Elephas maximus indicus: one gene and its partners. The protein of the gene in region 2 interacts with the protein of the main gene of each other region in a pairwise test. Links are inferred from orthologs where the notes say so. Each region holds a gene or a part of one and is shown on either strand. Other genes may lie near its edges. The genes, in order: EGFL6, SH3GL2 and ATXN2.

Evidence for each region.
Region 1: the proteins of SH3GL2 (region 2) and EGFL6 interact in a two-hybrid assay, tested with the Homo sapiens proteins (2 studies listed by BioGRID and IntAct). The link is inferred for Elephas maximus indicus from reciprocal best matches to the Homo sapiens genes SH3GL2 and EGFL6.
Region 3: the proteins of SH3GL2 (region 2) and ATXN2 interact in binary tests that used the Homo sapiens proteins (3 or more experiments, as listed by UniProt). The link is inferred for Elephas maximus indicus from reciprocal best matches to the Homo sapiens genes SH3GL2 and ATXN2.

What each region holds. Positions count from the first base shown.
Region 1 is NC_064846.1:166,091,273-166,099,033, reverse strand, and holds the start of EGFL6 (epidermal growth factor-like protein 6), read left to right. Parts: upstream 1-4,391; coding exon 4,392-4,465; intron 4,466-7,761.
Region 2 is NC_064827.1:27,493,582-27,502,137, reverse strand, and holds the start of SH3GL2 (endophilin-A1), read right to left. Parts: upstream 3,140-8,556; 5' UTR 3,047-3,139; coding exon 3,002-3,046; intron 1-3,001. UniProt on the Homo sapiens protein: Implicated in synaptic vesicle endocytosis. May recruit other proteins to membranes with high curvature. Required for BDNF-dependent dendrite outgrowth.
Region 3 is NC_064840.1:9,932,471-9,940,068, reverse strand, and holds the start of ATXN2 (ataxin-2), read left to right. Parts: upstream 1-4,396; 5' UTR 4,397-4,482; coding exon 4,483-4,670; intron 4,671-7,598. UniProt on the Homo sapiens protein: Involved in EGFR trafficking, acting as negative regulator of endocytic EGFR internalization at the plasma membrane.

The DNA of each region.
Region 1 (7,761 bases), on a different chromosome or scaffold from region 2:
AGGTGCCATTGTGTCAGTTCCAACTCTTAGCGACCCTCTGTACCACAGACTGAAACACTGCCTGGCCATGCACCATCCTCACAATCGTTGTTATGCTTGAGTCAATTGTTGCAGCCACCGTGTCAATCCATCTCATTGAGGGTCTTCCTCTTTTTCACTGACCCTCTACTTTACCAAGCATGATGTCCTTCTCCAGGGACTGACCCCTCCTGAGGTGCAGTCTTGCCATCCTCACTCCTAAGGAGCATTCCAGTTGTACTTCTTCCAAGACAGATTTGTTCATTCTTTTGGCACTCCATGGTATATTCAATATTCTTTGCCAACACCACAATTCAAAAGCATAAATTCTTCTTCGGTCTTCCTTATTCATTGTCCAGCTTTCACATGCATATGAGGCAACTGAAAACACCATGGCTTGGGTCAGATGTACCTTACTTAGTCTTCAAGGTGAAATCTTTGCTTTTTAACACTTTAAAGAGGTCTTTTGCAGCAGACGTGCCCAATGCAATGCGTCATTTGATTTCTTGACTGCTACTTCCATGGGTGTTGATCCTTGACAACCTCAATCTTTTCTCCGTTTATCATGATGTTGCTTACTGATCCAATCGTGAAGATTTTTGTTTTCTTATGTTGAGGTGTAATCCATACTGAAGGCTGTAGTATTTGATCTTCATCAGTAAGTGCTTCAAGTCCTCTTCACTTTCAGCAAGCAAGGTTGTATCATCTGCATGACGCAGGCTGTTAATGACTCTTCCTTCAATCCTGATGTCCCATTCTTCTTCATATAGTCCAGCTTCTCAGATTATTTGCTCAGCACATAGGCTGAATAGGTATAGTAAAAGGATATATATATAAAACAAACCAAACCCATTGCCACCAAGTCAATTTCAACTCATAGCAACTCTATAGGACAGAGTAGAACTGCCCCCATAGAGTTTCCAAGGAGCAGCTGGTCAATTAGAACTATCAACCTTTTGACTAGCAGCTGTAGCTCTTACCTGCTACGCCACAAAGGTTTCACACATATATATGTGTGTGTATATACACACACACACACGCATATATATATATATCCTGTCCCATTGCTGTTGAGTCAATTCCAACTCATAGCGTCCCTATAGGACAGAGTATAACTGCTCCACAGGGTTTCCAATGAGCGACTGGTGGATTCGAACTGCCAACCTTTTGGTTAGCAGCCTGAGCTCTTAACCGCTGTGTGACCAGGACTCCCTATGTGTACATATATGTGTGTGTGTGTGTGTATAAAATGTACATATATATATATAATTTATGTATGTGTGTGTATATATACATACACACGCTTCACGTATATAAATACTTTAAACTGCTGCAGGGTTTAAAGCCAGGAAAGGTATGCATCAGGGTTGTATCTTTTCATGATACCTGTTCAATCTGTATGCTGAGCAAATAATCCGAGAAGCTCTGCGTTATGCAGATGACACAACCTTGTTTACTCAAAGTGAAGAGGACTTGAAGCACTTACTGATGACGATCAAAGGCCACAGCCTTCAGTATAGATTACACTCAACATAAAGAAAACAAAAATCCTCACAGCTGCACCAATAAGCAACATCATGATAAACGGAGAAAAGATTGAGGTTGTCAAGGATTTCATTTTACTTGGATCCATAATCAACACCCATGGAAGCAGCGGTTAAGAATTTCATTAGGCAAATTTGCTGCAAAAGATCTTTTTAAAGTGTTGAAAAACAAAGATGTCACCTTGAAGACTAAGGTGAGCCTGACCCAAGCCATGGTGTTTTTGATCACCTCATATGCATGTGAAAGCTGGGCAATGAATAAGGAAGAGCAAAGAAGAACTGACGCCTTTGAATTATGGTGCTGACAAAGAATATTGAATATACCATGGACTGCCAGAAGAACAAACAGGTCTTTCTTGGGAGAAGTACAGCCAGAGCGCTGCTTGGAAGCAAAACTTCATCTCACATACTTTGGACATCTTATCAGGAGGGATCAGTCCCTGGAGAAGGACATAATGCTTGGTAAGGTAGAGGGTCAGCGAAAGAGAAAAAGACCCTCAATGAGAGGATGGATTGACACAGTGGCTGCAACAATGGGGTCAAGCATGACAACTGTTGTGAGTTTGGCACAGGAACGGGCAGTGTTTTGTTTTGTCGTACATGGGGTCCCTATGCGTCGGAACTGGCTCCATAGCACCTACCAACAACAAAATATGCTTCACTGGTTTTACTCCTCTAGAAACCCTAGCCTAAAATACTCCTCAGGGGTAAGAAGAAAAGAAAACCAAACCTGTTGCTGTCAAATCAATTCTGACTCATAAGGACCCTATAGGACAGACAGAACTGGCCCATTGGGTTTCCAAGGCTGTAATCATAGGGTTGCTATGAGTTGAATCGACTCAATGGCAACTAGTCTTTTTTTTTTTTTTTTTACAGAAGTAGACTGCCATATCTTTCTTTCAAGGAGCAGCTAGTGGGTTCAAACCACCAACCTTTCAGTTAGCAGCCGAGCTCTTAACCGCTGTGCCACTCCTTAGAAGATGAGAAAGAGGATTTAAATAGCAGCAACGGAGCTCAATGGACAGAGAAGCCCTGAGTTGCTGACCCCCTTCTCCTTCAGAGTAGAACTGTGCTTCACAGGGTTTTCAATGGCTGATTTTGGGGAAGAAATTCATCAGGCCTTTCTTCTGAGGCACCTCTGGGTAGACTCCAACCCCCATCCTTTCAGTTAGCAGCTGAGTGTTTCAACTATTTGTACTACCCAGGGAGTTGGTTGTCATTAGTTGGAGTTGACTCAGTGGCAGCTGGTTTACTTCACAAGAGTTGTGGGGTATTCAATAAGATAATATCAGTAAAGTATTTAGAGTAATGCTTGTCACTATTAGCTATGAACAGCTCAGTGGTCTAAGTCATTATTGACCAAGGATATTGAATCCATTAGGACGCTTTCAACTGTAAAACAGAAGATCCAACTAAAATTGGCTTACATAATGACATCCATTACAGCCCACTGCAAGAATCTGTAGAAGTATCTCCCCCACCCTCACTTCTTCTCACATTTCATTGCTAGAATTAACACATATGCCCATTATATAACCAGGAATCAAGCTTATCATCAAGGCAAACCTCCTCTTTCTCCATATTATCTTCATCATTTTATTTCTGACACTAGTTCATAGGTGTGTCAACTAGCTATTGCTGAGTAGCAAACAATCACTACAAGCTTTAGTGGCTGGCTCTGCAGATCTGAGCTAAGCTCACTCATGTGTCTTTAGGTTGGCTAATATACACTAGGCTTGACTGAGTGGCTCTGCTTCAAACCATAGGTCTGCAAGTCGACCAGGTATATCTGTGGCACCTGTCCCTCATCCGCCTTGGACCACCACTCGCTAGCTGGGACATGTTCTTCTCATGTCTATGACAGAGGCACAGGTGTCTAAAGTCTATGCTTGAAACTGGCCCATTCCAGCTTCTGCCCACACACCATGGGTAAGTTACACAGCCAAATCCAAAGTCAAGAGGCAGGGCCATACACTCCACCATGAAGCTACAAAGGGGTGTTTGCTGGGAGAGGGTGAAGGAGGGACCAATCATTCATTCCTCCAGAATAAATAGGATTGTCAGAACAAAAAACACGTAGGTACCCGAATGAATTCTCTGAATTCTGTAGCATTTGTGTTTCGGCCATCAGTTCCTGCACTGTTCAATTATACCTGACAATTTCATCTTGCAGTCCCATGTAAATAAGCTGTTGCAAATGAGCACGGAGAGAGCATTTGTCAAATGAAGGGGTTGCCCAAGGGCTTGGTGACCTTCCTGCTCTAAGCACGCTAGGATTTGAAGGTTGTAAGAAAACCTAGCAGAATATTAAAAACTTAAACAGAAGGTAGCAGTCTCACTAGGAACCTGCATCCCCGGTTCCCACGTTGACTTCTCAACTAAATTCTTAGATCCTGGAGAGCACGCAGGTACCACTGAAACCAATTCCGGGGCCTGAAATGGATAATGGTTCTTGGTGACTCCGACAGAGGGGACTGAACTGCATCTGGGGAATGTTCCTGTTGAACAAAGCGCAGAGGATGCGCGGGTCCTGCTGGAGGCGGGTCCCAGCCAGATGTGCATGGCCCGCCCTCCCTGGCTGGCTCGCCCGGGTCCGCTTCTCAGAGGAGCCCAAGCGCGCCTTCCCCGACGTCCCAGCCTCTCCTGAGACGCGCGCGCCTCGCCGGAGCGCCCGACCCGGGAGCTGCGGGAGGAGCGCAGCCCTGATCGGCCGCAGAGCGAGCAGGCGGTAGTCCCGCTGCGCCCGCATCCCGCGTCCGGGCACCCTCCTGAGGGGGTGCAGGGGGAGGAGCAGTTGACCGCAGCAAAGGAGGGAGGCCCCGCGCCAAGATGCGACCACCCTGGGGGCTCGCGCTCCTGCTGCTGCTCCCCTGGGTGGCAGGTGGATTAGGGAGTGCAGCCAGGTGAGTGGCTGGCTTGCGATCGGCCCCTTCTCTTTGTCCCGGGTTCCTCCAGGCATCCCCACGCGTGTGTGGGTGTGTGTGCATGCGTGTGTCTGTGCACTCTGAGACTGGATTTCTCGCAATGCTGCGAGGCCGGAGCGCACCCGGACTTTCCTCCAGCGCCCCTTTGGCTAATCTTTGCACCCAGTGCCCTTTGCATCAGCTGCGCCCCACCTGGCTGCGTCCAGCAGGTTACTGGAGGGAGGCCGGGCGCTGTGAGCGCAGACCTCTGGGCGGGTGTGGGTTTGGTGGTCTGCAGACATCGACTGTAGGTAGGGGCGGGTGTGTGAATATGCGTGAATGTGTGCGTGGGAGGCGGGGGGGGGGCCGAAGGTCTCGTGTGTGCAGTTATGTATTCTCCACTCTGTACGGAGGGTTCCAACTGGTTGTCCGTCTCTGCTTTTGCCGTGGAAGAAGGGAAAGAAACTGAGGGGCTAGAGAGTGAGCTTGGGCTGGGTTCCCGCTCACAGGACCTGTTGCGGGCGGACTCCTCCGCTCGCTGCCTTTTTGAGGGTTGATGAACTGGTAAGAGAAAACGGGGTCGTCATATGAAATCCCCTCGCTCTTCTTGATATAGCAATTCAGAATCTGAAGCCATTTCCTTACTTTTCTAAGCCCTGAAACTGACTTTTCCAGGAACTTATTTTCCGAAACCCCTTAATAAACACCCACTTATGTGTTTTTACACAGTGCTCACTGTGGGCCTTGCATTGTTGTAAGCACTTTGAGAATATTAAACCATTTATACTTCCTAACAACCCCGAGGGGGAAGTACTAGTAGAGAAACAAGGCACAAAGAGGTTGAGTAATTTGCCCGAGGTGGCACAGCCAGTATGTGATGGAACTGGAATTCAAATTCAGGCAGTCTGGCCCAGAGTTCTTGCTCTTAACCAGTACACTAGGGTGACCTCTTGAGAAACCTCAGCTGGAGAAGGCTTCCTGCTTCTCTGGTTCCTATGACTTTTTGCTACTTAGATGTCTACTGGGTCAGCACCAGGCACTATTGACCTTTGGAGCTAGATAATTTGTTGGGCTTGGGGCTGTCCTGTGCACTGAAGGATGTTCACGAGCATCCCTGGTCTCTACCAACTAGATGCCAGTAGCACCCATCCTCCAAATTGTGACAACCCAAAATGTCTGTGAACATTGCCCAGTGTCCCCTGGGGAGGGCAGAATCACCCCCAGGTGAGAACCCTTGAGCTAGAGAGACCTTTAGTTTATGATTCCCAGGCAGAGCAAGATGAGAGCTTCCTAAAGGGGAGCTGGACTCTCTTTGCTTGACTTACAGGAAAATATCTTTCATCAGAGTCAGCCAAGGTATTAAGGGATTCTGAAGTTCAAACAACAAACCAGGTTCTGAGAATGTAGGATTCATCAAGTTTCAATTTCCTTTTCATGATAAAAACGTGAGCAGATGCAATTTGCTCATAATCACAGTTTCCTTGCACGTTGGAAGTTCTTGTATTGCTAGAAAGTCCACTTAAGACAGACCAAGTGCTATTTGGAGACAGGATTAATAGTTCTTTAGCAGTCAGCAAACAGACCTCCAGAGCTCCACTTTCAAAGTGCCACCAAATTAAAATAAAAGCCGAAAAGCTCCTGAATCAACCAAAGAATATTAAACTGGAGGATCCGTGTCAGGATTTTCCAATTCTGCAGTTTTCAAGATGTAAGAAGTGGTTTCCTTGCACAGTATCAGGTTCCTGAGCTGGTGTGGGTATTATCTGCTCCAGCATGCTCCCAACTGTTAAGTGGTCCACTCTTCAGGAACTGCGCGGGAACCACAGGTAATCAACTCCAGACTCCAAGCCACGCCAACACAGTTACAGAGAAGGCAACACACCCTGCAGAGATGTGTGCCACCTGGGTATTTCCTGGGGTTTCACAATTTATCCTAAAAACTGTGGCTACTATATAGAGATGTCTAATGTATGCACCCTGGTGACATAGTGTGGTTAAGAGCTATGGCTGCTAATGAAAAGGTCAGCAGTTCAAATCCACCAGGTGCTCCTTGGAAACCCTATGAGGCAGTTCTACTCCGTCCTATAGGGTCCCTATGAGTTGTAATCAACTCAGTGGCAACAGGTTTGGTTTTTGATTTTTGGAATGTATGCACTAGAGTCCCTGGGTGGCACAAACGGTAAAGTGCTCGACTACTAACCGATAGTTTACAAAGAGTCCAATGGAGTCCCTGGGTGGTGCAAACGGTTAACACACTCGACTGCAAACCGAAGGGTTGCAGGTTCTAGTCTACCCAGAGGCACTTTGGAAGAAAGGCCTGGCCATCTACTACTTTTTTTCCTCTCCCTCTTTTTTTTTTGTATTGTACTTTAGACGAAGGTTTACAGAGCAAACAAGTTTCTCGTTAAACAATACACACATTGTTTTGTGACACTGGCTGGCCATCTACTTCTTAACCACCGTACCACCAGGGCTCCATACAGCGCACTAGATAAAACATATTCTTAAAATTAACATCACCTTTTAAAAATTTTTTTTAATGTGATTAGAAACAGTTGCTCTACTAGAAAATTTCAAATGCCATATGTGGCTATTATATTTCTATAAATATAGACAGCACTGGTCTAGACTATTTGTCCGAACTCCATCTTGTGTGTTCCAGGTTCTGACATGCAGGTTTCTTAAGGATTTTTTTGCCTTGAGCACGTAAGATAAATATATTAACTTTGCTATCCTTGAGAATCAAAATTGGAGGAAGTCCCTACTTCTAACAGATTCCTATTCTACATTTTTTTTCTCTATTGAATTCAAGTAAAAATCACATGACAGGTGAGGGAATGACTAGGTACATGGTGGCTCTGCATTCATGGAGAGGGGCCTGCTGACTGCAAACCACATGCTATGTTAGGAATTGATTCTTCTCAGAGCCCCATTTTAAGGCAATGTATTCATTTCCTGTTGCTGCTGTAACAAATTACCACAAACATAGTGGCTTAAAAAAACACAAAGTTATTCTCTTGCAGTTATGGAGGTCAAAAGTCTAAAATAAGTCTTGTTGTTGCTGCCTGCCTTGCAGTCAATTCTGACTCATAGTGACCCTAAAGGACAGGGTAGAATAGTCTCACAGGGTTTCCAAAGTTGTAATCTTTATGGAACAGATCACCAGGTCTTTTCTCCCATGGAGCCACTGGGTGAGTTCGAACTACCAACCAACTACCAGCACTTAACCATTGCACCACCAAAAAAAACCAGGGCTCCCTAAAATAAGTCTTATGGGACTAAAATCAAGGTGTTGG
Region 2 (8,556 bases):
TTAAGTTTTAAAAAAAAAAAAGTACAAATTGCATAAGAGCAGGACATTAATTGGAACCAGACAGCTATTTTTATCTATACTTCTGGCTTAACCCAAGTGAAAAAATCAACAGTACTTTTGCTAAAATGAAATCTCAGTATGAATAAAACTCACTAAAAGTAGAGTAATATATGCTCATCTGCCCTATTTTACAGTAAAAAGATTATCTCATTCATTCTAACTGTATGGTAAATTATTTCCTTATGAGTAATTTAATAATAAAGTATGTTAAAATGAGAAGATGATCGATTTTTGCTATTTTTATTATATTCTCAAGTCTAAAGGATTTTCTCCTCTCGACTCAATGGCACTGGGGGTTTTTTCGTAATAAAGTTGCAAAAGCATCTTTTCACCTCTAAAGAGTAGAGATACGGAAAATTATTGTCGGTAACAAGGTAGAAACAACCAGTTTTAATGAAAAAGAACAGGTGTGATGTGCCAATCAGAAATCTCAAGTCAGTGGTTCAAACACTGAAGACAGGCTGCTCTACTAATACAAGTATCTCCCCTAAATAAACAAAAAACTCAATTCAGTGGAAACTGGAGAGATGGCTGCCTAAAGAGGACATATACATATAGGCTAGAATCTAGCACGTCCACTGTTTTGTAAAATAAAACAAAGACAGTTCTCACGAAGAAACAGTGCCAGGTCTAACGCTTCATTCGTAAATAAGATCAGGCTCATGAAGCTGTATGGGAAAACGGCTCCAAAAGTAGGGCATGACCATTTCCCCTATTATCTTTGTCGCATGCAAACAGTAGCACTGACTTTACATATCAAAATATACATATGTACACAGGAAGAGTAATCTTTGTCTGGGGCTTTCTATGGTTGGGCTACACCAACTTAAGGATATAAGTCAACGTGTTGCTTCACCTTTAAAATGTAAGGTTTTCCAATAAAAAGAAGAAAATAATGCAGTAAGCCTGCATATTGAGTCAGTGCGATAAATAGTAATCTGATTTTAGCACAAATAGACCTCCTCCAACCGTCTAAGAAGTTCTTCTGTATCGCAACTCAATTTTTTATTCTGAATCTTATAGCTACATATAGCCGCAGGACTTGGCAGAAATGAAATCGATTATTGTTAGGTTCGCAAAGCTAAACATTCGAGTTTCTGTTATTTCCTCGTGTCTCGTTATTACTAGTATATAAGGTAGTATTTATACTAGGAAAATTATTAAGATTAATAGCTATCACTTACTGAACACTTTTTATCGTGTATTACAAACTCCTTTATTCCCGCATCAACCTGAGAAAATCGGTATCATTTTCACTTTAGCAAAGACAGATTTGGAAGTCAGATAACTCACTCAAAGTCAAAGACAGTAAAGGTGGGTTCAAATCCTGGCCTTTTCCACTCTGCAGCCAAGACTCTTAGTTGCCTTTTAGGGCACCAAGCTTTACAGAGGAAATCTCCAAAATTGAAGCAAAAAAAAAGGACATGGTATTGGTAAATGTCAAGCTGAGGTCTGCTTTAGGGAAGTGACAAGTGCCTGGGCCAAGACAGGTTAGTTACTTCAGAGATGCTCTGCTCTGCCTGGGGATGTATGGGCAACATATGCTGGATCCGTAAACCTGGAAGAACCTGAAGTACAAAGGTGCAAGGGGCCCCCCAACTACAACAATGCACTTATATTTACAAGCCTTTCAGGCAGAGGTCACAGGAAGCTTCAATCTGAAAAGCAAAAATAATTACATGAATGGGCATTTTTACCAAAACAGTTCTAGTTTTCCCCAGTTCCCAAACTGACCAATATAACTGATTCTATAAAGTCAAGTCTACAGTGATCAGAGATGGCGCACGTGCACACACACACACTCGTGTGCAGTGAATTTCATGCATCTGTCATCCTAATTTAACTAAGATTCTGCAAAATTCATTCCTTCTGGATGTGGTTTGTAATAGGTTTGCTATTGTGGTAGCCTGGGAAAAACCTCATTACATTTGAAAACTTATGAGAAAAGCTCAATATTAATTAAGGCTAATCTATAAAAAGAATATTTAAGGCTAAACTATTCAAAGGTAAATCCACAAAGCTCTTAACTAAAGATCCGTTAGATTAGAACCTGTTTCAGAGTTATTTTTAAGAAGAAAAAAAAGCATACACATTATATAAGAAATAGGTCACACCGAAAGCATTCACTTATTGTTCTTCAATTTAGCCCAATGAGGTTTAAATTATTAGAACAAGGATTAAATAAGTTTTATTATAATCACAGACTAGTAACCCCATAAAGTTGGTATATCCAAGGTATAAAAGGCACGCTAAATACTTCGAAACACATGATAATTTTCAGTTTTCAACAATTTGACTCTATCAAGACACCAAAACCCACAGGAAATTGTCAAAGGCACGCAGATAGCTTGCTGGTCAATCCCTGGGGTCGAAGGAGTTAGACGACTGAGTTCTCCAGCGAAAAGTTCAGGCAGGCGCTTCCCTGAAGGACCCCCCTGTCATTCCCTCCCATTCCTCTGAGCCGGAGGACGCTGTGGAAGGAGGGAAGGAGGGAACCACCGAGGAGGAGCGCAGATGGCAGGCATCTCCGCAGCCACCCCCCGTGCGGGCCACCGCTCCTGCCACCACATCCCGGGACGGCTGGGCACTCCGACGCCTCAAGGTCACCAGAGAGGAGGCGACTTTACATAATCTCCCACCGCGCCGCCCAGCACTTGCGCGGTGCAGCCGCGGTCCCCTCCCTGCCAGCCTGCCCGCGCGTGGCAGTGCGCTGGCGGCGCGCGGGGTGACGAGGCGGGATGCCGGGGACCCAACGGGTGCCTGCGGAGTCGCCCCGAGCAGGGGGCGGAAAAGCGCGCTACCTGCCCAGGGATGCCCGGGGCCGCCGCTGCGGTGGCCGGGGCAGGCGATGCGGGGTGCAGCCGGGGCGCGCTGGGCGCCGGGCCGGGGACCGTAAAATCTCCCCGAAACCGCCCCGCTACACACCTGTCACGCGCCTCACCTGAGTGGCTTTGTGGAACTGCTTCTTGAGCCCGGCCACCGACATGGTGCAGGAGGGCGCGCAGACGCGGGCCGCGGCGGCTGCGGACAGGAGGCGGCGGCGGCGGCGCGGGCAGGAGGGCCGAGCCGGGCGGCGCGTTCGCCGGGCCGCCGCTCGTCGTGCCGCGGCCGGGGCTGTGGGCACGGGGGCGCAGAGCCGGCGCGGGACCCGGGCTCGTGCGGAGAGATACCCTGACGTCAGGGCGGGTGATGCCGCCTCTTAAAGGGGACGCGGGAAGCCCCGCCCCGGCGCGGGCCGGCCGGCAGGTGCCGTGCGCTCAGCACCTGGGCGCCGGCCCCACCGCGGGCTCGGACGCTGGCGCGGCGACTGGCTCCCGGATCGGAGACCGAGGGCTCTGTTTCTCCGCCCCAGGGGCGCTGTCCGTGCCCCTGCGGATGCGGAGCGGTCGCTGCAGCTGAGCAGCCCGGGGACTGGCACGACTCAGGTGACTACTCGGCTTGCAGGTAGCCGCAGCGGCGCTGCCAGCCGCCTGCCTGCCTGCCCTTTGACCCGGCTCTCCGCAGCCTGAAAAGGAGGAGTGGTGTTCTCTCTGGGGTGATAAGTCATTGCTCCTTCTCTGTTTTGCCGGCGCTGGGTTGGTCACAGAAAATATATCTCTGTCCTGGTTTCAATAAGCCTATACAAACGTTAGGAGAGTCACCAACACCCCTTTCTGATCTGATACAATTTAATAACTTAAAAATTTTAAAACAAACAAACTTAACCCTTTGGCGGCCCAATCATTTTCTGCTTTGAGTTTTTTTGTTGATACCATGTGTTTTCCTTAGTGAAAATATGCTGAATCATTGAGTGTGTCTGAATTTTTGGCAGGTAGTATGGATTTTTCTTTCTTGGCACCTCCCACAAGCCTACCCTGTGTCCCTTGGTACATGCAATATACCATTAATTTTTCTCCGGGGTCCCCACCGGGGTCTACTGGTACATATGTGTAATGAATTAAATTTTTCAAAATTTCTTATTTTCTGCCAAAAATTCAGACACCTCATACAACACCCTGTAAAAATAGTAATCTGCGGCACACGCCCATTTCTTCCGTTTCAAACAGTCATAAAGGCTCCTGGTTTTCACAGGACACAGTATCAGTGGTACAGCAGCTTCTCAGTAAGCCCCCGAGGCTGAGAAAGTTCGCGTTCGCCATATGCACCACCCAGCATAAAAGGGTACAGGCTGGTCAGGTGAAAAGAACCGAATGAGACATTATTACGGTAACCACATTTAATTCTCTGTGTACAGAAATGAAAAAGCCTGAATATGAACTTGACGCTTGGGCAATAGTGGTAGTGGATTTAGGATTTTCAGTCTCCAGTAATGTGAAAAAGCACGATATTAAATTGTGCAAATACTAGATATGTAACAAAGTCTGTATGGCTGGGTCAGAGCAAAGCTCTGATGGAATTAGAATTGGGAGTGGAACCTCACTAGGTATCTTCACTGTTCTGGTAATTAGCCACTTCCTCTGGTTTTTCTAGGACTGAGTAGCACATGGAAAAAATTTGAACTGCGTCTTCCCTTGGAGTTCAAATATATACCAAGGACAAGGCAGAGGGACAGAAGGCAGAAAAAGGGGCCCTTGAAAAAAATTGCCAAGGTGAATAAAGAGGCAATATAGTAGAATGAGCATTCTAGAAATGGTAGTAACTGCCACCACAGCCCCTGCTGCTTTGTACAAACCACACACACACACACACACACAGCCACAGCTGCTTGGGCAGGGGTGGGCATCCGATACAAGGCGATCCTACGCATCACCAAGGCTACCAATCATAGCGCTTCTTGATGATTTGAACTGAAACACATAGAGGCAGAGTCAAGCAGATAGTGGTGCATGTGGGCTTGTGTCCCAGTCTGCAGAAAGAAGCAGAAGATAGAGGAGATCTCCAGCGTGGGAGCGTTACTGAAGTTCATGTGCCTTCCAGGTACATGGCAGGATTGCACTTTTCAAACCCCTTGTGGCTAGGCGGGGCACTGTGACAAGTTTTAATTAGTGGATTGGGAGGGAAAATGACTGCCATTTCTTGGCAGAGAATTTAAGTAGTAGTTGCTCTGGGTAGATGGATTGACCATACCCTGGCCACTTACCCAGCATTTTCATTGTCAGCTAGAGAGGTGGATAGTAAGCTCTTGCCATCCATGGGGAATCCTAAAGGAATGTGAGGGCAAGGGACAACCTGTGTCCCTTAGAAACACCAAAGATGAAGGTGTTGTCCATAGACAGGTGGGGCTTCTGATCCACAGAGTTGAGGACAAACCACTGAAGTGACCTTATTGAGGGTCCAAGAGGTGATATGCCTTTAAGACATTAAAAAAAAAAAAAAATTGCCATTGAGACAATTCTGACTCATAGCGACCCTAGAGGACAGAGAAGACCTGCCCTGTAGAGTTTCTAAGGCTTAAAAAAAAAAAAAAAAAAAAATTTTTTTTTTTAAATCTTTGTGGAAGCCAACTGCCACATCTTTCTTCTGTGGAGTGGCTAGGAGGTTGAAACAACCGACCTTTTAGTTAGCAGCCGAGCCCTTTAACCACTGCACCACCAGGGCTCCTTAGGGGACATTTACTCACATATAAAGAGACCCACCTTGGTGATTTCTAACTTTTCGATATTAAGCTCTGAAAGGGTTTGGACTTACTGCACAAGTAGGTGGGGCTAGAGATTTGAGGGTAAGTGCTATGATGACTGCCTTTGTAGCCTAACAGGTTGGTGAAATCTGCATACACTTAAACACACACATAAGAAGACTACCCTAAAATACCAAAATGCTAATAACGGTTGTGCTACTAGAGCAGTGGAGTTCCTGGCTGTTGCCGTGAACACACTCAGCTGCTAACCAAAACGTTGGAGATTCATGTCCAGCCAGAGGCACCTCAGAAGACAGGCTCAGTGATCTACTTCCAAAAAATCAAACATTAAAACAGTAAGGAGCACAATTCTACTCTGATACGCATGGGGTCGCCATGAGTCAGAATCAACTAGGTGGCAACTGGTTTTTGTTTTGTTAAGCAATAGTTCTCAAACTTCACCTGGAAGGCTTGTTAAAGCACAGCCTGCTGACTCCATCCTTAAAGATTTCGATTAATTCAGTAGGTCTGGGATGAGGCCCAATAATTAACTTTTCTAACAAGTTCCTGGAAGCCCTGGTGGCATTGTGGTTAGAGCTACAGCTGCCTAACTGTAAATCGTCGGCAGTTCGAATCCACTAGGTGCTCCTTGGAAACCTTACAGGGCAGTTCTCCTCTGTCTTATAGGGTCGCGATGAGTCAAAATTGACTCGACAGCAATGGGTTTTTACAGGTAACAAGTTCCCAGGTGATGCTGAGACCACACTTTGAGAACCACTGGGCTGGAGTACAGATATGATTTAGGAGAGGATCCCCCGCCCCCCGCCCGCCGTTTAAAATGTTTTCCCGTTACTTGTATAATAGAAAAAGTATTTCATGGTTAATTTTTTTTTTGCCTGTTCCCTGCTCTAAGCAATGGAACATTTTCACAGGGTTGGCATTTTGGGGGAGTTGCCAAGACTTAGAACAATTAAACTACAAATTAGAGGGGTCTGAGATTCATGAGTCCTGGTCTCCAACCCTGAAAGGTGAGATGGGAACCTGAAGAGTCCCCTCAGAACTGTGGAAACTGTACTGAAATCTAAATTAAACAAAAGCAAGTCTCTGTCTTTCCCTGTTTCTTCATCCACAAGCTTAGAAGGTTTACTCTGTTTTACTTCAATGGAGCTACCCCAGGAGAAAGAACTAATTAAGGACTTTTGAAACCATGGTTAAGCTCTTCCAGATATGGCCTGGACCTCATCTAAACACAGTATTTGTCACTGAGGCCACAATGTATGCTTAAAAAGACCTTTGAAATGTTTCCTATGAAAGAGATTATTGAGCTTCTCCTACTAGCAGCCATCACAGTAGGTGTTCGGAGATGGTAGAGAGAGACACCAAAACATGTATGGAGTGGGCCTTGAACCGCAGGGGACTTGCAGGTCAATAATTAGGAAAACCCTTCTTATAGACATTTGTTGTGACCTGAATACAGAGAATGCACCAGACACTGAAAAATTCCAAACAAGTCTTTCTTTGCTTGCAAAGAGGCTGTAACAGGTTCTGCTGAGAAATCAAGCACAGGACAGGGGAAGGGAAAGCAAAGGTCAATGAGGAAGAACTTTGTCTGCTAAAGGTTGTTGTAATCAACAAGCTGCCCTATAGTCTCCCCAGGTAAAGTCAATGGAAAATGGTAAATAAATCTAGATTCCCTCAGGAAAGTCCCCATTCAATGAAACTTCTTCTCAGTACCACCTCACTAATTGGGCAGTGAGTTCACAGCCAGCAGTAATTCCTCACATCATTCGTGCACTGCTTCTCCTTGTGTTATGTTTTTTTGTTTTTTTTTTTTTTTTGCCAAAGCTTCTGGCAAATACTAGACCTCTCATTTGCACAGAGCTGCTGCAACCCCATGCCTTTCAGGGGACCCAGAGTTCCAGAGTTCCTTCGGTCCCTGTCACTGCTGCTCTGGCCTACAGGGCAAACCACTCCTGACTTCAGGTCAAGGATAAGAAAGATAGGAAATCCAGGGCATTAAATCCAAACTTGTTATTTTACATATGAGAAAACAGAGGCTATGAAAGGAGGAGGCTTAACCATGGTTTCTTTTCTACTGCAGCCTCCAACCTCAATTCAGGGCAGAGCCTCCAATCAGTGTTAATAATCATAGATTGAAAGGAATGAATTTTTAATGAATGAACAAACAACATGTCACTGTCATGGATGCCATATTCCTACCACATTGGGTTTGATGTTAGCCCAGTAATGGATTCTGGAGACTGTTGTTCTGGGGTGAGCAGCCCTTAATATAAGATTTAGTGCCTTTGAATGCTGTCAGTAGTATTGGGCCCCCAGCTAGCATGGGCAGGGCCAAGGAGCCCTTTCCTAAAGATGGAAAATCAAGGCAAAGACCACCTTCATGGTCTTTCCTCCGGATTTGTCACCTACACCCCACTCTCCAGCAACTGCACTGACATAAGCACACTTTTTTTTTTGTCTTTTGGAGGTGGAATGTGTGGGTCTTTCTCTCAGGGGTGCCCTTTCTTCACATTTCCTTACATAGCTCTCCTCCCTCCACGGCACAGGGGATTCTCCCTGCACAAACTTCCTCTTTGCTCAGCTAAACCCTATTAACTAATCACAGGAGGAAGCGTTAACAAAGTGAGTGACCCATGTTAGACTCTTCATCTGGGCCCATATTCCTAGTTTCATCCCCTTTTGAAATGCTTCCAACTTCTCTAGCAAAACTCTACAACCTACTGCCTTTCTCTTGAAGTCTTTCCCCATCTTTCTAACCCTGGGTCCCCTCTTTATTCCTGGAGTCCCAAGTCCTGGCTGTGCACCTTTGCTATGACACTGTCTGACATGTATTGTAGACATTCCTGTATGGTCTTAGATTCCTACCTCTTTGAGTCCAGGGTCTTTATTTTTACAACCCTTAGCAGATAATACAATCA
Region 3 (7,598 bases), on a different chromosome or scaffold from region 2:
AATGAGAAAGGGCAGCCCAAGGCACAAGGCACAGCTTTTTTGTACACTAATCTCGGAAGTAAAAACCCATTACTTTTTCTCAGCTTTTGTTAGAAGCAAGTCACAAGGTTCAGACCATACTGAAACCAGTTGCCACCGAGTCGACCCCAGCTCATGGTGACCCCGTGTGTGTCAGAGTACAACTGTGCTCCACGGACTTTTCAGTGGCTAATTTCTCAGCAGTAGATCTCCAGGCCTTTCTTCTGAGGCACTTCTGGGTGGACTTGAATCACCAGCTTTTCAGTTAGCAGTTGAGCTCGTTAACCGTTTGCGCCACCCAGGGACTCTGCTGATACTGAAGTGGTGGGGATTTCACAGTATGAAAACAGGAGGCAAAGGTTCATTTAGGGCCATCTTAGAGGCTGCCTACCACACCACTTTAAGGAGCAATACCCTGACCTAAGCTAAAGCTTTCTGACATCACAGTTGCTGTTAAATAACCATGTTTTCAGAGGTCTGGAATTCAGGCAAACAATTTGCAGTAAGAGAGATACCTTGGTTTTGGGTGGTGATCCTCTGTCCACAAAGAAAAAGGAGAAGGTATAAACTAGAGTTGACAGTAGAGATTCTTTTGGTTTCCATTTGAATATAAAAGCAGAAATCAAATTTTTAAATTGTGTTAAACATATATGTAACAAAACGCTGGCCATGTCAGCATTTTTTACATGTACAGTTCGTGAAATTAATCACAGTCATCTTTGTTCAACCCTTATGACTATCCATTTCCAAATTTTTCATTACCTTTAATAAAAGTTTGGTGGCCCCTAAGCAATGAGTCCCTGTGCTAGTCATCTACTGCTGCTATAACAGAAATACCACAAGTGGGTGGCTTTAACAAAGAGAAATTTATTCTCTCACAGTCTAGTAGGTTACAAGTCCAAATTCAGGATGTTAGCTCCAGGGGAAGGCTTTCTCTCTTTGTCAGCTCTGGAGGAAGGTCCTTGTCCTCAATATTCCCCTGGTAGAGTAGCTTCTCAGGTGCAGGGACCCTTGGTCCAAAGGATGTGCTCTGCTCCCAGTGTTCCTTTCTTGGTGGTATGAGGTCCCCAACTCTCTGCTTGCTTCCCTTTCCTTTTTCTCTCTCTTGAGATAAAAGGTGGTACAGGCCACACCTCAGGGAAACTCCCCTTACATTGGATCAGGGAGGTGACTTGGGTAAGGGTGGTGTTACAATCCCACCCTAATCCTTTTAACATAAAATTACAGTCACAAAATGGAGGACAACCAGAGAATACCGGGAATCATGGCCTAACCAAGTTGATAAACACATTTTGGAGGACTCATTTCAATCCATGACAGTCCCCCTTTCCTCCTCCCTCCTGCTCATTTGCCTCTAGTAACCACTAGTAAACTCTGGTCTCTCTATACACTTGCCTATTCTAGATATTTCATATAAGTGGAATCATACAATATTTATTCTTTTGTGTCTGACTTACGTCCCTCAGCATGTTTTCAAGGTTCATCCATATTGCAGACTTCATTTCTTCTTATAGCTGATTATTATTTCATTGTTTATGTATGTACCACATTTTGTTTATCCATTTATCTGTTGATGGATATTTGTTGATCCACTTTTTGGCTATTGTGAACAACGCTTAACTCAACATTGGTGCACAAGTGCCTTTTTGTGTTCCTATTTTCAATACTTTTGGGTACACCTGGGAGTGAATTATTGCTGAATTATTTGCTAATTCTTTATTTACCTCTTTGAGGAACCACCAAACTTTTTCCCACAGAAGCTGAAGCAGAATATCACATTTTGATGATAAACTCTCATATCTTCCTGGTGTTAATGCAAAGTGGTACAGCCAGTTTGGAAAATATCTTTCCAAAAAGTATCTTTAAGAAGTTAAATATAAATGTACCATAACCAAAAACCCAAGTCCATTGCCATCGAGTTGGTTCCGACTCGTAGGGACCCTATAATTTACCATGAAAAAAAAAAAACCACCCAGCAATTCCATTCCTAAAACTCTACCCAAGAGAAATGAAAACATATGTCCACACAAAGAAATATGTTCATAAATGTTCCTAGAGGCATTATTCCTAATAGCCAAAAACTAGAAGCAATCTAAATGTCCACCAGTTGGTAGATGGATAGATGTACAAAATATGGTTCATTCATGCAATGGAATACTACTCAGCAATAAAAAAAAAGAGTACTGATACATGCTGCAACAGGGCTGAACTTCAGAAACATTGTAAGTGAAAGAATCCAGAAACTAACGACTGCATACTGTTGAGATTCCATTTATATAAAATGTCCACAATAGGGACATCCATAGAAACAGAAAGTAGGTTAGTCGTCGTCTGGGCCTGGGGGTGGAGATGGAGAGTAACTGCAAATGGCTTTGAGGGATCTTTTTGGGGTGATGGAAATGCTCCGAAATCAGTGGTGATGATTGCACAGGTCTGTAAATTTACTAAAAGTAAAAAAATCAGACACTTAAAATGGGTGAATTTTATATTATGTAAATTATACCTCAAGGAAGCCATTGCAAAAATTGCACTGATAATGGATGGGAACTTGAGCTCTCTCAGCCTACATGAAATCAAGTTCAGCTATGTCAGCTTCAGGCCTTCTTATTCTACTTCCCTTTTTCTTTCCGTCTGCCAGGAGTCTGATGCTAAGATTGAATTCTGAGAACTTAGTCCCATATATTGCTGTCAAATAATTAAATCAACGAAAGTTGATTGTATCACTATTGTGGTTCTTTCTTTTTCCATCTGGTATTTTATTCTCAATTTCTTTGGGTTAATTTTTAAAGGATTTGTAACTGTTGGTTTAAAGGAATAGCTTAAATGGGGTGGGGGGGAGGGGGAGCTGACTTCCTAGTTTTCAAATGTTTGTGGAATACAAGGATCATTTTTACCTGGACTATCTAGGAGATTAATTTCATTTTGGCTATTAGAGATACCTGGCTTAATCATTCCCCCAAGTTTTTCCATATCTTTCTCTTTATCTGGACAACTCTAGGAGACAGAGGGGAATTTTGTTGCTTTTTTCCCCTGTCATTTCCTGAAATAATTTCACTTTTAAACAAACTAGATTCTTCACTGGGGGGGGGGGGGGGGAAGTCGTTATCTACTTGCTTCCAGCTTAATTGCAACATATGTAAAGAACTGACTACTGTGCTGGCTGGCGCCCTAAGTTAAAGTAAAACTTCTAAAGGGGCCAATGTCTAAAGTTCGCACATTCTTGTGAGGTCTGTTCTGTCTCCACTGAAGGAGACCCTATTATCCATAGCGCTACCAAATCACGTACATTTCCTTTTGAGTCTTATGAATGGAGGAAACGAAGTTCAAGTGAGGGGTAAAAAATGGGTTCAGACGAAGGTCAGGTACCCAAAAGAGTTTTCTGGTTACCGTGTTGCTGGAGTGGAAAAAGTGGGGAAAAGGTAACCAGATGTGGGTGGCCCCAAGAGGTTGCTCCAACCCCATTAGTTAGTCTTGGCAGGGAAAGTGAGCGCGGCCTGCCTTTGGGCCACCCAGTGCCACTTGAGGGCCTACTGTGTGCCAGGCACTGTTCGAGGTGCTTTCTACGTAGCACGACAGTCTCCGCCCTGCAGGCGCTCGCAAGCCCATTTTCTAGGTTGCATCAGGTGGGGGCCCACAGGGCTCCTCCAAGGAGTCTGAGGACGTTGGAGGAACACTCGGGAGGAGGGGGCCACTTTCCTCCTGTCCCCTGCACTAGGCCGACCCAGCAGGCGAAGACCGACACGCCCTCGCAGGAGGCCAGACCCGCCTCGAGGAGGGCGGACCCAGGCAGGGCCGGACGCCGGGCCCTCACCCGACCCTCGCAAACGCGCCCCAGCGCAGCGCCCGCTCCTCACGTGTCCCTCCCGGTCCCCGGTCGTCTCACGGAGTGCTTCCGCCCGACCCTTCCGACTTCCGGTAAAGAGTCCCCAGCTCCGCACCTCCGCGCCCACCCGGCACCGCCACCCAGTGTCTCGGCGTGCCCGGCCTCGGATGCGGTCGGCAGCCGCAACAACTCGGAGCCCCGCGGCGGCCGTCGAGCCTCGCCGTTTCGCCGCGGTCAGGTGGCCGGGGCGGTGCTCGCTCCCGCGGCCGGCGCGGCGGCGCGGGCGGGGCGGTGGCGGCGCGGCCCCGTATCCCTCCGCCGCCCCTCCTCCGCCCGGCCCCGGCCCCCCTCCCTCCGGGCAGCGCTCGCCTCCCTCCGCCTCAGACTGTTTTGGTAGCAACGGCAACGGCGGTGGCGCGGCCCGGCTCGGCTCCCGGCGGCTCATCGGTCTCAGCGGGCCTCCCCGCCCCTTCGTCGTCGTCCTCCTCCCTCTCGCCGGCCCCGGCGCCCCCCCGGCCGCGCCAGCCCGCGCCTCCTCGCTCCGCGCCCGCGCGTCCCCGCCGCGCTCCGGCGTCTCCTCGGCGCGCCCGGCTCCCGGCTGTCCCCGCCCGGCGTGCGGGCCGGTGTATGGGCCCCTCACCATGTCGCTGAAGCCCCAGCAGCAGCAGCAGACCGCGGCCGCCAATGCCCGCAAGCCCGGCGGCCTCCTCACGTCGTCCGCCGCCGCGCCGGCGCCGTCCTCGTCCTCGTCCTCAGCCACCGCGTCCTCAGCCGCTGCGTCCTCCTCGGCGGCGGCGGCGGCGGGCGGCGGGCGGCCTGGCCTGGGCAGGTGGGTGTCGGCGCCGAGCCCCCTCTGCCCGGGCCTGGACGGCCGGGCCTCGAGTCCCCTCCCCCGCGGCGCCTTTCCTCCCGTGACCGGCGGGGCCCGGGGGGTGGGCTGGGGGCCCGCGGTGGGGGCGGGGGCCTCTCGGGCTGGAGCCGAGGGGCTGGAGGCTCCCACGGGGCTTCTCGGCGATTGTCAGGCCGCGTCCAGTCTCTTGCACCATCCCCACCCCCTTCCCCAAACGGTCAAGATGGAAGGACCGGGCAGCCGCCTTCTCTCGGTTTCCACGCTCGGGGGGGTTCACAGGTCTCCGCAATTGTCAGCCCCGGTTCCGCCTTCTCTACGCCTCCCTCTCCTCGTGGGGGGGGGTGCTTGGGCAGCACCCCCACCCCTAGTTTAAATGTTGATGTTGGCGGGGTCCTGGAGCTCCCGAAACATGTCTTCTCCACCAGTGGGGAATTTCGGGGGAGGGGGGATTGGACAGCGTCCCCTCCTGTTGAAGGGCGCATCTGGGATCGCTGGGGTCTGTCCGGTCTCCCTTGACGCCCCTCTTCCCTGGCCTGGAGACGGTCGAAGGACGGGGCGGAGGGGTGGGCAGTGGCCTCCCGCCCCCTCCCCATTGAAACCTGCGATCGTGGGGCTCCGGGCCGTCCCGGGCAGCGTCCTCCGTCCCCTACCTGGGGCAGGGGTGGGACGGCCCTCCCCGCAAGGCCTCTCCTGCCGGGTGGCGGCCCAGCCGCATTGCTGTCGGAGGCCGCCGAGGAGCAGGCGCCTTTGAACAGGGTGGGCGAGGGCCGGGCCCCGCCGGGCCGCTGCGGGAAGCGGGCCGCTGCGCATTTTCTCACTACCCCCGCTTCAGTCGCCGGAATTTCGAGGGAAGAGGAATTGCCGCGGGGGCATGAAGGGCTCCTGAAGCAGAAATGCGGGTGTTTACTTGCGACCCCCGCCCCCTCCCCCTAACTCAGGCTTGTGGTGGGGGCCCGGGGGCTCGGTGTGCTTTCAGCGAACTGGCTTTGACTCTGGAGGGCGTGTTTGCGTGGGAAGGCCTGTTGGGGGTGGGGGGTGGCTGTCAGTTCGTATTTCATGAAGTAAGAAAATGCTTAGTGTTCAAACTGGGCAGCAAATGTCAATAGACTCCATTCCATTGTGGCCGGTGTCCTTAACTTGGGGAGTGCCGCCAGAGCTTACCAAGGGCACACAAGTCCATTTCCCCTGTGCCCCGGGCCCCTCCGTGGTGCAGGCACTGCCATGCCTCCCTTAGGCCTAGGCAGAACTGGCAAGGCCAGTGACCATTGTCCTCCTTAAATAGACATACTGGTCTTTCAAAGGTGGGCTAAGGGAGTTTTTCATACACTGAGTTTTCTTTTTGAAAACAAATTTTCAGCGAAATGTAAATACTCGTTTACAGCAGGCGAACTTTACCTATCCAGATGATTCAGAGCTGGTTTTTAAGGAATTCTCCCTTCAGAGGGGGGACAGTCACTTTTTTGGCTTCTCCTCCCCACAGTCCCACGGTTTCCCCTTCTCTGAAGCACCCACCAATGCTGCCTAGCCCAACAAGTTCAAATGAATGATAGTTTCTGCAGCTCTATACACTTAGCATTCTGTAACTTCAAGTTTCCCTTTTTCAGTGGCAATGATAGTGGAAAACATTTAAAAGATACAGTTTTATAGAAGAGGGTGCTTTTTTTTTTTTTCTTTTTAGGTTTTAAAGGTAGAAATATGACAGATACCTTGTTCAAATAATTAAAAATTAAAACTAAAGGTTTTAAATTGCATTTGCCCTCCCTAGGCTTAAGCATTACATTATTCAGAGTAGTTTGAATGGTCAAAGATAGCTGAAATGTTTTAGTAGTACAGATCTTTTTCTGTTCCTTAAGGCTTCATAAAAACTTAGAGTTAATTTCTTCCTTGCTTTAAATCCTTTTATTTGAGGTATAAATTGTAGCCTTTATTCTTTTTCCTAAATATGCAAAGTTTTGTTTAATGTGAAATTCACATAATGTGAAATTTTACTCTTGAGCACATCTTTAGTTAATGTACTTGTAGAGTTGCTTTTATGAATCACCTTTACTGGGTTCTTTGTAAACCAGTTACAATATCTAGAATCTCCTCACTTAACATTTGAATGCATCAGTGGTAAAATAAGTTTCTGAGCAGGGGTAAAGGCAAAGAAAAAAAGCATCATTGGGTTTGACATGGTTAAAAGGAGCAAAATATTCTTCAAAGCTTTGAAATTCATGTCTGTTTTAAATAGCATAACATATCATCAGATTTGATTTTTACTTTTTTGGTGAATAGTGGATTTTTATGGCCTTTACAAAATGATTTGTTCTGTCTTTTTCACATACTTTTGAGAAGGTGGATTTTTTTTTTTTTTAAGGAAAGAACAATGTAGCTACAATATTAAAATTGGAAAGTAATTTATTTTAACCCAATTTTTATTTTTGCCTTTTATTCTTCAGTTCTTATCAATGTATTTTTATGTTCTTGCATTGCTGATTGCATGTTATTTGTATTTAGCTTTTTTTTTCGTTAGTATTGATATGTATATATGGTTTCTACTCGTATTGTTGGCATTTGGGTTTCCGCTTTTTTGTTATTATAGATAATTGTGCAGTGAACATCTTTACACTAAAGCTTTTTTGCTTCAGTGTAGTTATTTCCTTTGAGAAAGTTCCCAGGAGTGACATTACGAGGTCAAAGGGCTTCAAGATTTTTACGGCTCTTGCTCACTGCCGAATTGCTCCTCAGAAGATTTGTATTAATTTCCAGTGCAGAGAAGGTGGATCTTCTTTAGAATGGCTTCTTTGTAGTTTGTCAAACACTGGAGGGCATTTTGAAGGGAAAAGTTGCCTTTACTGTGAAGTGCACACATTAAGTGCTTTTGTTAGTTACCTGATTGTTTACATTGGAGTTTGAGTTTGAATTTGT